Linked DNA regions of Drosophila melanogaster. The protein of the gene in region 2 purifies or fractionates together with the protein of the main gene of each other region. This does not show direct contact. Each region holds a gene or a part of one and is shown on either strand. Other genes may lie near its edges.

The links.
Region 1: the proteins of bsh (region 2) and Grx3 purify together in Drosophila melanogaster (affinity purification with mass spectrometry, with the first as the bait; one large-scale study listed by BioGRID). This does not show direct contact.

The regions. Positions count from the first base shown.
Region 1 is NT_033779.5:13,362,838-13,368,492, reverse strand, and holds Grx3 (glutaredoxin 3), read right to left. Parts: upstream 2,047-5,655; 5' UTR 1,963-2,046; coding exon 1,753-1,962; intron 1,689-1,752; coding exon 1,426-1,688; intron 1,363-1,425; coding exon 1,185-1,362; 3' UTR 1,083-1,184; downstream 1-1,082. Other genes in the region: Tap42 (Two A-associated protein of 42kDa), read right to left, coding at 1-576, 647-769; Nnp-1, read left to right, coding at 2,417-4,480.
Region 2 is NT_033779.5:19,764,248-19,772,360, forward strand, and holds bsh (brain-specific homeobox), read right to left. Parts: upstream 4,821-8,113; 5' UTR 4,683-4,820; coding exon 4,240-4,682; intron 3,768-4,239; coding exon 3,493-3,767; intron 3,104-3,492; coding exon 2,801-3,103; intron 2,382-2,800; coding exon 2,113-2,381; 3' UTR 1,529-2,112; downstream 1-1,528. UniProt on the Drosophila melanogaster protein: DNA binding protein that function as transcriptional activator. May play a role in the determination and function of cell types in the brain.

The DNA.
Region 1 (5,655 bases), 6.4 Mb from region 2:
CGAATCCACTTCGTTGTCGGATTCGCCACCAGCCAATCGGGCAAGGCGCATCTGGGCCAGCTGCTTCATTACGCCCAATGTTTCTAATTCCTGCTTGGAGTCTATTATACTCTTGTCCAAATACTTGAGGAAAAAGACACGTTTATCCTCATCGTCGACCGTTTTGTTCTTGACTGCATCGCGCATTCTGGCCATATACTCGTCAATCTCCTTCATCCGGCGATACTGGGCTATTTTGTCGTTTCTATTGAAGGCTGCCTCTACCAGCTCGCGCTGCTCGCTTTTTTCCGCTTGGCTATCCGCCTTAGCCACCTGAGATTTGGGCGCTGCACAGAGATCATACTCCTGGCAACGCTGCAGGTGGTCCTTGAAGTAAATCTCGCCCAGCTCTATGGAGTGTGTGTTATTGGGGCTGTTGATCTTAGTGGTAAGCTTGCCCAGAAAGTAAGGGAGCAGCATGAATGGTAGCGATTCCGTGGACACCTCGTCGATCAACTCGTTGGCACTGAACATGCTAACCTGGTTCACAATGACGGTGGCCTGCTCGAAAAGGCCCATTGCAGTCTTCACTTTGTTCTAAACGTTGTGGTAAACGTTCAATGCTGGTTTTTATTACATATATATGAAGATCTTCAATATTACACACCTGAAATTCGCTGCCATTGAAGGGCAGTTCGGTAACTTCTAGCTCGTCGAATATGTTCCAGCCCTTTAGAAAGATGTCCGTCAGCTTTTGGTCCTCTCCGCCAGCGGTATTACCCTCAGCCATTTAAAGATTTGGATATAAGTTTATAGTTAATGGGTATTTTCAATAATATAAATAATATTGCGAAAATAATGTGCAAGATGCCGACGCCGAAACAGCTGTTTACAAAATGAAGGTACGCAAAATACCAGATAAACCAGGGCTGGTGTATAAAAAAGTTCTTACAAATTTCTAGCTATATTTATGTCGTTAAGTTTGTAAACATTTATGGTGACACCATTGAAGCCCGTGTAAGATGTCTTATGGATGACCTATAGCACATTTGCTTTAATACAATTGTTATTAAAAATTTCGATGAATAAAATAATACCAGAATGTAGCAAAAATCCTTTATTAAACCATTAAAAAGTCTAAGGATCTAGCTAAAAATTTGTTTCTGGTTTATGGTGTCTGTAGGAGTAGATGCAATCCGATGGAATTAGCCCTTTAGCGTGGACTCGAGCTCATTGTTCGCCAGCAGTTCCTTAATAATATCGAGTCCGCCGATAAGTTCACCCTTGACGTAAACCTGGGGATATGTGGGCCAGTCGGAGTAGGTTTTCAGGCCTTGACGCACTTCTTCGTCGCCGAGGATGTCAAATGTCTCGTACGGCAAGCTATCGAAGGATATTTTCGTTTATAACTTGAAATCAAATACAACTGATGATCAATTTGCATACTTGGTTTCGTTCACAATGCCGATGAGCTGCTTGGAGAATCCGCAACGCGGTCCATTTCGGTCGCCCTTCATGAATATCATCAGCGGAGCTGTATTGATTAGGGCCTTTAGGCGTTCCTCCAACGTTTGTCCTGTTGCCGCCGCGCTGCTTGCGTTTTCGGCCAACTTTTTGGATTTGGCGCTTATGGCGGCGATGTCTACACCATCGACACGGTCAACGGCGGAGCCCTTGGCGAAGAATATGACTGTGGGCACGGCCTCGATCTGGTGGCATCGCAAATGAATGAGGAACTACTGTTATATTTTCATAAAATAAATACGAGCGTACCTGATGTTTCATGGAAATCTCGGGAAATTGTTCAGCGTTTAGGCTGATGAACTGCAGTTTTTCGCCAGTAATCTTGGCCAGCTCCTCCAGCGCGTCTTTCACCTGACCGCATTGCTCTGCCCATTCGGCGGCGAATAGAGCTACGGTCGTCTTATCCGCATTAATGTACTTCTGGTACTCCTCGGCAGCCGACACGTTCACCACGGGCATGATTTCTTTGAATTATTTAACTAAATTTGCTGGACAAGCAAAATTTACAAAAAGCAGACCGAATTATCAGCTGTGGAAGAGAGTTGCCACTTTCCGTAAAGAAGTCAGCGCTGGTAGCTATAAAATAACAACCTATAAATGGCTAAAAATATATAAAATTGTATTAAAATGTATAAAGCAAGCGTTTCATGAAGTATCAAAACTAGCAATTTAAATATTCTTTTTATTATTCTTTTTTTCTTTATTTTATTCTTTGAAAATTATTTCATTAGCTTGAGTTTTTGTTGTCATTTTCAGTACAGCTCATGCATTTAGAGCTGTTGGACGAAATTTGGAGAAAATGTCGTTTCAACATCTGGCAACATCGAACGGCAACACGTGCGGTCGTGCCGTACCGTATTCAATATACACAGCTCACTTATTTTTCGCAACTAAAAGTTGAATTAGCCGGATAATGGTGACGCGCAAGAAGCCAGTTAAGCGCAACGCCGAGGCGGCCGAAATCCAGGTCGAGCAGGAGGAGGACGCTTCACAGCCGAAGGTGGCCAAGGAGCTGATGGTGGTCGCCCAGGAGGTGAAAATTATACGTGCTCTTGCCTGCAACGATGTGGTGGAGCGTAATCGCCAGATCCGCATTTTGCGCAAGTGGTTCAAGGCGCGTGCCGGTAGCTCCTTTCCCTTCAACGAGGACGACTTCATGCGCATCTGGAAGGGATTGTACTACACCATGTGGATGTCGGATAAGCCGCTGGTGCAGGAGGAGCTGGCCGAGAAGTTGGCTCAAATGGTGGACAGCTTCGGCGGTAATACGGCCTGCAGTCTGGCCTACTTTAGTGCGTTTATGCGCACAATGTGCCAGGAGTACTTTGGCATAGATCAGTGGCGCATGGACAAATTCCTGATGCTCACCCGCCGCATGGTGCGTTATCTACTGAGATTCCTCAAACAGAACAACTGGAATGCGGACCTGATAGCCGCATTCAACAGCAGCATGCAGCTTTCTGTGATGTCGGAGCAGCCTAAGTCTCGCGGCATGACCATGCACTACCTAGATGTTTTCTTTGAGGAGCTGGCCAAGGCGGCCAATGGTGAGATCACTGCTGCTCAGGTTAATATGTTCTTGCGTCCGTTTGTCACCTACATTGCTACACAACGCGATGCTAAGCTAGTGGCACAGTGCCGCACAAGGGTACTCTATCATCTGATGTACCAGAGCGACTTAGGACGACAGTACAGCGAAAAGTACAATGCCTGGAAGCAGATGGGTTTCCCCACCGCCTCCATTGATGACATTGAGAAACTAGATTCTGGATTTGACGAGGAGGATGACGAGGTCAACGCCGAGGAGGAGCAGCCGCGGGCCACATCCTTGGATCCCCGAGCGGGCAACGTGGACGTTCACATGCCGGAGCTGCCGCTCAACGCTGATTGCGTACTAGATGAGCTGCAGACGCAGCTACGCACCAACGATTTTAACAGCAAGAGACGCAAGGGATTGCGCAAACTTATCCAGATCTTTGAGACTTACCAGAGAGGAGAGTTTCCACTTGGCGTGAGGACAATGCCAAAGGTGGAGGGACAAACTCTGTCCGAAATGGTGGAGCAAAAAGTGGCTGCCTTAGATAAGATGGAGGACGAGGTCTTTGCAACCGGAAGAAAACTGAAGAAGCTCAACAAATCCAAACGCAAACGCCTACTGCAGTCCATTAACTTTGAGGAGGTGGACGAGCACAACTACGATGAGGTTATTAGCAAGGCTCTGCCTCCTGAGCTGCAGAAGAAGGTGAATTACAATGCAAAGGTGCGTTCTAGCATAAACAACGCATGGGTAGTAGAGGAGGTCAAGGAGGCCGAGCCCAAGTCGAAGAAAGCAAAAAAGGAAGAACCGCCACAGCAGAACAAAGATGACCAGACGAAGGTGAAGAAGAAAAGCCAGCTTAAGCCGAAGAATGACCAGTCCAAGCCCAAGATAGAGGATCAACCGACCTTGAAGGCAGAAAAAGAAGAGCCTGCGAAGCGCAAGAAATTGGACCACTCCAAGACGAAGGAGGAGCAGTCGAAGCCGAAGACAGACGAGCAGCCCAAGCCCACACCTAAGGTGGAGGGACAGTCCAAGGCCAAGCCGACTCCCAAAACGAAGGCTGCCGGTGTTGATGATGATGCTCCGACCAACGGATGGGATGCCCCTTTAGAGGACGGTGAGCAGGACATCTTTGTTCCCTCTCGAAAACTGCAAGTGAAGCAGGCCAACAGTAAGCTGCCGCAGTCCACACCCAAACAGCCTGCGCGCGCAGAGTTTGCGACTCCACAAACGGGCAGTGGCAAGCATGTGCGGATCGTGACTAAGAGCAACTGCATCTACCCCAAGAGCGATTACTACCGCCAGCTGAAGCTGTCTCCGCAGGTGCCCTACGACGCGAATCGGTTGCCCGGTAAGAGTGCCCTTAAGCCACACTGGATACCGGGACCGATTCATCCGAGCTACAAGGCCAAGCGCTTGTTCAACGACACTCTGTGACAAAGCGTCTAGTGGCAGCGACTGGGATTGGGACAGGATGAGGAAGATTAATTTGGACTTAGTGCTCTGAGGGACGATGAAGAAGGGGGAGCGCTTCGCATCATACTACTTCCTTATAAGGCAGTATAAGATAACACATCCACAATAGGCATGTCTTATGCTGGTTTTATAATACGTCTATACACACGAAAGTTTCCATGCTATATTTTTCTATTTTACAATGTTAAAGCCCTTTTGTTTAGTTTCGAGAGCACCGTTACTATGCTTAAATATTTCAATTTTCTAGAATAGTTGAAATTTACGATAGTTCCGTGTTGCCTTGACTAATTTCTACTCAAATAAAATCCGTATAAGACATGTACTAAATGTAATCCCCTAATCTTTTAGTAGTTACAATTACGACTTAAAATACTATTGCTTGTAGGCCATTTTATGTTCAAGCTATCCTCTGATCTGAGTTGAAATAAAAGCAAACGTAGTATATGTAAAATCAAATACGAATCACAAAGTTTATTTAATTACCAGGTACAGAAAGAACTAAGTAATTTAGCATTTTGATGGGCTAACAATTCCAGCTTTCAAATTTCAAAACTATATTTTTTCGAGCAGAGAATGGGGAAAACGAATGTATATCAATAGCTATTTGATAGTTAATAGCTTATTATTATACCAACATTTTGAAAATAAATATGTCATTATTATTTTATATCATGGTTGGGCAAAAGAATCGTCAAAATACTGCTCATGACTCTTATGAGCTTAGTCTGTTCCACTCAAAGCCACATATTTGACTCACTCAGAACTGCGCTTGAGTCTTGAGATTGCAGTTAACATTCCGTTAACATTCACTCAATTGGTAGTTGAGCTAAAAAAAACTGCATTTAAGGGAGGAATATGCAGCTAAGAGAGTTAAAAACACCCACTCAATCAAAACACTCAATTGAGACAAAAAACTGAGAATGAGTTTAAAAAGTTGCAGAAATAATACTCAAATGTTAAATGCCATTTTAGTGACACTTATCAATGCTTAAAGTTACTGTGGTTAGACTAATTTAATATGTTTAATTCTCTGAATTATATTTAATATATGGAACTGTATTATTGGCATGGAAGCATTCATATAGTCACAATTAAATTTTCTTAAAATTCGAATTTTTTATGACTGGCATTTAATT
Region 2 (8,113 bases):
ACAATGGGAAATAAGGAATAATAATATCTGATGATCCTAATGAGGATCGTATATGGTACTGTACATATATTCACTGTTACCTAAACATTTATAAATAAAATTAGGGATGTATATTCCTAATAAGAGTATAACTAAGCTATTATAGATTATTAATTAAAGTTGAAGAAATCATAAAGTATTATAGAAGAATATACTTGATATATAATATAAGAAGATTCTTTTAATGTTTTATAAAAATTCAGTATTTCCATTTGTTTATCATTCGTATGATCTAACTGAACTATTATTTAAGTTATCGGCAATAAAAGTTAGTGAATAGAATGGTCGGCTTTCTCATCCCTTCTCCTACATTTTGTTTTGTTTTCAACGGCAACTGATAGCACGTAAATAGCATACACACGGAAAATGTATATAGAAGAGAGAGCGGAGTGGAAGAGAGTCCAAGTCCAGATGGGGAGCATAAGCTGCAGACATATGGCTCCAAAACTAAGAGGGAGCCACATATGAAGAGCGGAGGAGAGTGGTCAGGCTTACCGATGAAAATGCCATCGTTAAATGCTTCACTGTGAGAACATTTTAAACAATAAGTATGATGTGAAATGGTCCATGAGAATACGAGTTATACTAACTAAGAGTCTAAAATCAAAACATTTATTGTGATTTTTATTGCCAACCTCTTAAAATCGAGGGAGGCTCGTCTCTAGCAGTTTATTTCACATTGAGCTTATCAATAGCAAGATAAGCCCAAGAGTACTACTTATTAGTTTCTGTATTCACTGGGAAAATACAAGTGGCTAAAGCGACTGCGACTTGTCATTGCTTCGACCTTAGGTTGTATATTATTCCGAATATTATTAATTCGCATGTTTACCAAGTTGAGCATAACTCAATACACACTCGAAATTTATATAAAAAAATACATATTATTAACAAGCATATGTACATATGCCATTTAATCGCCAGAATAGAATTGGAATATGCTTCGTTGACGTCAAGAAAAGTCTTAACAGTCCAAAGTATGAAACTAAAAATGATAACTTCTCTCAACAAATAGATCCATGAGTTTTGATGACTGCAAAGGTATCTACATGTATATAAGCATATGGAACTCCATTCCCTCCAAGACTCATTCTTAATCGGGTAAACTATTAATATTTTTTCGAGAGCATTCCTGCTAACCCGTAATTACCAATCAATTTGAAACATTTAACTTTTACCTCCTCACTCTATTCCGCACTTGACAATGGGTGTCTCACTAAAATGGCTGTCTGAAAACCCGCAATTATTTTGCCATTGTTAAGTGCATTTCCATCCACCCCGATTCAATCCAATCCCACCCGCTTCCGCCCGCCCACTTGGGCGGCAGGACATGCGCAGGGCGTGGCAGTCGCCAACCCCATACATCAGTATTCCCGCTGCTTAACCATATTAGTTGCTACTTTGTGTTGTCAATTGGATTTGATTGCCCGGCGAGGGGGCGGGCATCAAGCTACACCACCCACCCACCCAGTAACACTTCTCCAGCATTCGCGTAATTCGCTCCGTTCCGTTTATTGTAAGCACTATGTTCTGGATAAGAAGTCGCAGGGAACTAATGTATCTTAAAATGGAAGTTCTCGAATACAATCACTAAATTTGATTAGTTATTAGACTTAATACATGACTAGAAAACTCGTTCAAGAACTCGTTGGTATTTACACGGCTTTTCGATTCAATTCAAATATGTATCTGGGGGGAAATACAACTATAATTATAGCAAAATAAATATGTTTCTTTTGGACAAGATCAAAACAGCTAGAGTAGCTGGATGGTATCTGTTATAATCAATCAATTAATTCAATGGTGAAACTGATGGGTAAGTTTCCACAATTATAAGGAACTATAGTTCGTACTAAATCGTAATAATAGATATTTTCAAAATGGTATAACCATGCTCGCGCTGATAATATATGTGTTGTTTTGTAACTTCTGTGCTTGTCTAATAGAAAAGTCATTTAGTAAAAGAAACTGATATTTTTTGATTTGAAAATCTCTTTTAGTTGTATTTCCCCCAACTGAAACACCGAAAACTTTACTACTTTAGGATCCAGGTCCACATCCCGATCGAACTGTCTATGTTAACTGGTAGAGTTTCGCATCGCCGACGATGTCCACGTCGCTGGAGTTGTCCTCGTCGCCACTGTCCGCCTCCAGATCGGAGTAGTCATCCGTGGAGTAACCCTGCTGCATCAGGCACATCTGCAGCTGCTGCTCGCTCGTCGGCTGAGTGGGTGTGCCGCCGACAGATCCGGGATTCAGTTTGCCGTGCTTGGAGTCCCCGGATGAGGAGGTGGCCTCGCCCGGCTGCTTGCCCGGTTCGCTGCGTGAGAAGTCGACGGGCTCTGCGGCATGGAAGAGTCAAAGAAATTTCCACAAAATTTAGAACTAATTTGATTTGCGTTGAAACTTGAGCAAAACTTTTTGCATCACAAGGAGCCGGCTAAAAGCCAAAAGGTCTAATTGATAGTCCAAAAGTTCCTCAAAGAAACTACTCACTCCAGTGGTCTAGTTTTTGGTGCTTTGTGACCAATTTGAAAACCGCTGACCACTCCTGCTCGAAATGCCTTTTGACAATTTAATTGCTAACTCAAATATTGCATTGTCTAAAAGCTGGAAAACTTGAGCAACTCTTTTTCGCTCTAGTTGTTCTTAACAGCCCAGAAAAGGTTTGAATATTAAATAACTTGATTTGAGTATTATAAATTTCGTAATATTTAATTTGCTCATAATAAATTTGTGATTATGAAATCAATATACTCACCATTGGCATTGTCGCGCCGGCGCAGCTGCTTTTTGTGCTTCATGCGGCGGTTCTGGAACCAGGTCTTCACCTGCGTCTCGCTGAGTCCCAAGGCGGTGGCCAGCTCCACACGCTCCGGCGTGGACAGGTATCGCTGTCCCTCGAACCGCTTTTCCAGACCGGACAGCTGCGGATCACTGAACACCGTGCGAGCCTTCCTCCGGCGGCAGTGGCGCAGGGCATTCACGCCCATTCCCAGTCCGAGGGCCAGTTCCGGCACACAGCCAGGCGCTCCGAAGAAGGGCGCTCCCCCGAACAGGCTGGCTGAAAGGGCAAAGGATGCAAAATTTGGTTAACTTCGTTATAGTTGGAACAAATGAAAACTTTCGGTGTTGATGGCCATTTACACCGAATATTTCGAGTTTTAGTGCCCCTAAATGAAGCTATGTGGCAACAAAAAACTGCACTTCAACATCAGTTGTCCTACTAATTTGGGTTTCATTTTGAAAAAGTTCTAAATGTGAAATTAAATGTTGTGCTGGCTTTTTAATGAGAATATGTCCAACTTCATTTTCGATTAGCTAAACTCTAGCTAGAATTGACTTTTAATTTCTATGAGTTCGACTTTAACTTATTACCAACATGTTTGTATGTACCAGTACAAATCAGAATCATCTAGGAGGATATCTCTGTAATATCGAGCATTAACTCACCTTGTGATAGAAAATAGGGATCCACGGACTTGTAGGTGCCCGACGACGGCGAGAGATATCCGAGGGTCATTTGAAGAAATCCGTGATCGGTGTAGGGTGCATTCGGATAGAGTACTCCATTGGATGCACCACTACCTCCATTCAGGGGCGGCGGAGGCGGAGGTTGAGGTTGAGTCGTGGGCACCGGCGGATGTTGTGCTGCTCCAGATCCCAACTGCTGCGAAATCTGATCTCCGTTGTAGTGGGAAGTTCCGTGTCGCGAGTGGTGGTTGGACCTACGAAGCAAGTGGTTCAATTAGGGGTCTATTGGTATTTCGATGTTAAACTATTCTCTTTATGTCCAATAGTGATTTTTATGCTAATATGCTTAAATACAAATATATATTCCCAGATACATTAAGCTTTATGGTAAGCCTGATTTCTATGTTTCCAAAATATCATTTTTCTTACAAAAAATATTCTATAATTTAAAAGAACATAATCCAAAGTAAGATTTTAAAGGTGTATGCTATTCCAAAATATTTGTCTTCAAGAAGGTGTGACTATCTATCGTATTTGATGTTTCATGTTTACTTCTTATTCTTTTATAAATTCACTTTGTTAATATTATCTTATTTTTTATTTATTTTTTTTTTATTTTAATTACTTTTTTTCACTTTTCTATGCAATTATATTGGCTTAAAATTAAAGTTTTTTAAACTAAAATTTCACTGCAGTAGTATTAGGCCTTGGAATTCGGAAACCAACCGTGGAGTGCTGTGCATGGACTTGCCGTAATCCTCGCCAGCGTAACCCGACGCAGCCTGGTTGCTGCGGGCAGTAGCCGTCGCGGATGCGGATGCGGACGCCGGCGGATGTGACTGCGGCGGATGCGAATGTTGCGACGGATGTTTGTGCGGATTATTGTCGTGGGCAAATGCGCTTCTGGCACTTTTCACCGCGTTTCTGCTGCTCTTTGGCGCGTAGTTGTTGGTGTTTGCGGCGATGCCGTTGGTATCACTACTATTATTGTTATTGCTGGCACTATTTAAGTTTTGAAACAATATGTGCTCGATGGAAAACGGCGTTTTTGTGGTCAGCATTGTGGTGGCACTGGCCATCGCCGCCGCCTTGCTGTGCGTGGGCGTGGTGGCGTTGGCATGAGCATGTGCGTCCGCAGGACTCAAGCTGGCCTCATTAAGCATTGCCATTGCGCTGGAGGATGGCCGAGCAGGAGGAGCACGAGGAGCAGTGATGGAGACCGGAGCCAGGAGATGTGCCAGCCAGCCGGGATATATACGTGTCCTTGGACCGCGCGCGCGCTTATGTTGTTTGCTCGTTGACGGTCGCGTTGAGTTTGCGGCAATCACCGCACATCAACCAGCAAATTGCTCTAAACGAGCTGCCAGCAGACATGTGCGAGCGAGCCGGCGATATGGTCCTGCATCCTGCGAAAAGGGGAAAATCGAAGGGGGGGAAAAAATGCGAGCGCAGGCAGTGCCACCCCCTCCTCAATCCGGCTGCAGTTGGCCCGCTTTGCGGTGCCCGCTTAGAGCGGCAATATTCGGGGAATCCCCGTAAGCGGGCACATGAACACACCCCTCGATTTGCATGCGCATAGGGTTGTCCTGCTCTGGCAGGATTTTGAGCACCCATCTCTCTGCTGGCATCCACTGGACATGCGATTAGTGCGGAAAAACCTTAGTTTAATTGACCCCCGTTAGCCGCAAATAAGTTGCACAACTATGCGTCCTTGCTCTGCCGCCATTTTGCGAGGCAGGCACATCCTGCCACGTCCCCAGCCGCCCATTTGGCACCCACTTGTCATAATTAACGTGTCACGGCCGCCATTGTTGGCTGTCTGGCTGATGATGTGCGTGCATTAAATGCCACAATTATTATAATTGAATTAAACAATCGATTCTGCTGCTGTGACAGGATAATTGCTAGGTGGAGCCAGCGCAACTGTACCCGCTGGGTTGGGGCCAAGCATTCGCCTGCTTTGCATTCAGATATTTTTTCCCCGCGCGGTTAATTGAATCAGAGCCCCACATAGCCGTACACCACCCACCAAGGACACCCGGCCCCCTCCGCACCCAACCAAGTGACACCATCGAAAAAGGGGGCGTGCCTCCTTTCCAGCAAGCCACCAATCGGCGAAGAGCTCGCCGAGGGGTTGCTTTCGCAACTATACTCGTCCTGTTTCGTCCTGTTGCTTTGAGAATCAGTCTTTCCTCACAGCGGAAAGTCCTTAATTCCTTCAGAGAGAGGGAAATATGGGGGGGGGGGGTCTCCACAAACAGAGCAGGAAGGAAGGACAATAACGAGACATCGCCGAGAGAGAAAAAGCATATGACGACGATGCGACCAAAAAGCAAGACAAATTTGCTCGTTTTATTAATAAAATAAGTCACGCAAACTAAGTCGAACGTCATTATTAGGTTAAAGCCCTAAAATGGGCGCATTAGGATGGCATTCGAGTGATCGCGGTGATGGTTGGGTCTGCTTGGGGATGTGCTGCCCTGTTCCTGGGCAAAAATATCTCAGCTTCTCTAAGGACATTGGGGGGTTATGGGGTTTGTGTTAACGAATAAAAATATTTAATTGTATTTAAAAGATATTAGAATAATAGTACTTAAAAGTGATAACCTAATTTCAGAAGTGCTCTACCAATTTTAAAATTATTAAATTAAAAAGATATAAGATTCATAGTTCCTAAAAAGACAACGTTTTTCTTTTAATATCTATTTTATAATATTCTTTTCATTTTCTATAAATCTATTTTATGAAATCCCATCTAAATTAAATTTTAATTTAAGGGTTGTATACCTTAATAATAAATATATTTATTATTATTATTTATTATTTATTATAAATATATTTATTATTACATATATGAGAAATAAAAACTGATATTTATCTTAGAGAAAGAATATTAATAGAATAAAATATCTCGAGACTATAGTTACATATAGTTTAGAGCTCCATAGAAGTGGAAAGCTGGAAAAAGGTATCCCAGCCAGAGATGAGCACTTCTCTCACCTGGCCGAAAGCTCTTAACTGGCTGCTCCGCCTCCACATCCACCTCCTCCTCCATGGACTACTCTTCGGTGTCATCCATTGTTAACCCGCTGACATGAACGTGCCAAAGGGCCTTTGTGAGGACATATATTTTGTTCAGTTCTTTTTGAGTCTGCTCGGTGGCGTGTCTACCTTGCGTTTTTTATTGATTTTTCTCGCTAGGTGGAAATCAGCGGATTTGCGAGCAGAGATTCCCATGGCCAACTATGAGGGCAGATCATATTTTTGAGCCATCATTTAGTCTGCCTAATTTCCCATTGTTGCACGTGCCCCGTCCGACGGACTGAGCCTAATTTTTATAATAATAAAAATGCTACTACGTCTGGGGCATCGAATTGCCAGCCACTTTGCGGTTTAAGCTGAAGGAGGGTGCTTTTCCTTGGGGCAATTACAACATTTTGTGTCAGTTTGTCTGGCAAATCCTTCTGCGCTGTCTACATGAACGTCTCCTTGCCTCCTTTTTTGTGTTAGCATAATTCCCTGGAATCAAAGCTGAAGTGTGTCACCGATCAGGTTACATAAGCCATAGGTCGCGCTCGACCTCGCAACAGGGGTGAATATTGGCGGCACATTGCCTCAGATCCTCTTTCCGCATTTAAGTTTGATTCTCGGTAAATTAACTTCTGATACAAGCAACACAAACTTGAACATCCTTGCGGGTCCTTTGTTTTTGGGAGCAGCGCTCAAGTGGCTACATCCTTACGCAACCTTTGTTGTATTGGATTTTTGTTTTTTGCTAATCCTTCAAGGATGAAAAAATCGTACTTGTAGTTCCTGTTTAAGGATAATTGAATAACGAATTCAATTCAGCTCAAGCTAAAATTAAAGTTGCTTATTTTTACAAATTGATGCAGACTTCCTTTACGTAATGACTTAAAGCTACAAATTGAAAGTCTGCCAAGACTTATCTAGTTTAATCAATCTGATCAAAAGGCAATGCGATGATTTAAAAAATTGTAGCATTAAACTGCAATTATAGCTCGATATCACCTGAATCGTTCAAAGCTATTAATAGAAAAAAAAGATGTTCAAAGAAAACGCTTGGTCTTAATCTATGGTAAGAATGTATGTCATTATAACATAATTTTTTTTAAATAATTATGCAAACTCTGCCCTTGTAAGTATTGTAAGTATTGACATGATGCATCATAAATGTTACTAAATTGTCGCCAATTTCAATATCAGGGATTATGCAGTTTCATTGTTACTTTTTTTTCATTTCCTACTGACAGTATACGAGTATTTTCACCAATACAAGAAAGTCTGAAGATCTATTGCCAATAAATAAATATAGTTCTGTTTTTAAGCCGCTATTGAAGATTACCCAGTTGGTCCCACTCTTGAAAAATCCTCACGTAACTCGCAATCAAATGGCTATTCGGTTGCATTTAAATAGGAAATATGCTCGGAAATTGTTGAGTTACGCCCACCAAAAACGCCATATCCGGGAATTCAGTGGCCGAACAATCGAGCGAGTTGTAGGTCCTGGCTGTTCAGTAGATTTCACGATAATTGCGCGGGATAAATTCAATTAAATAGCACACTACATGGCCGTAGAGCC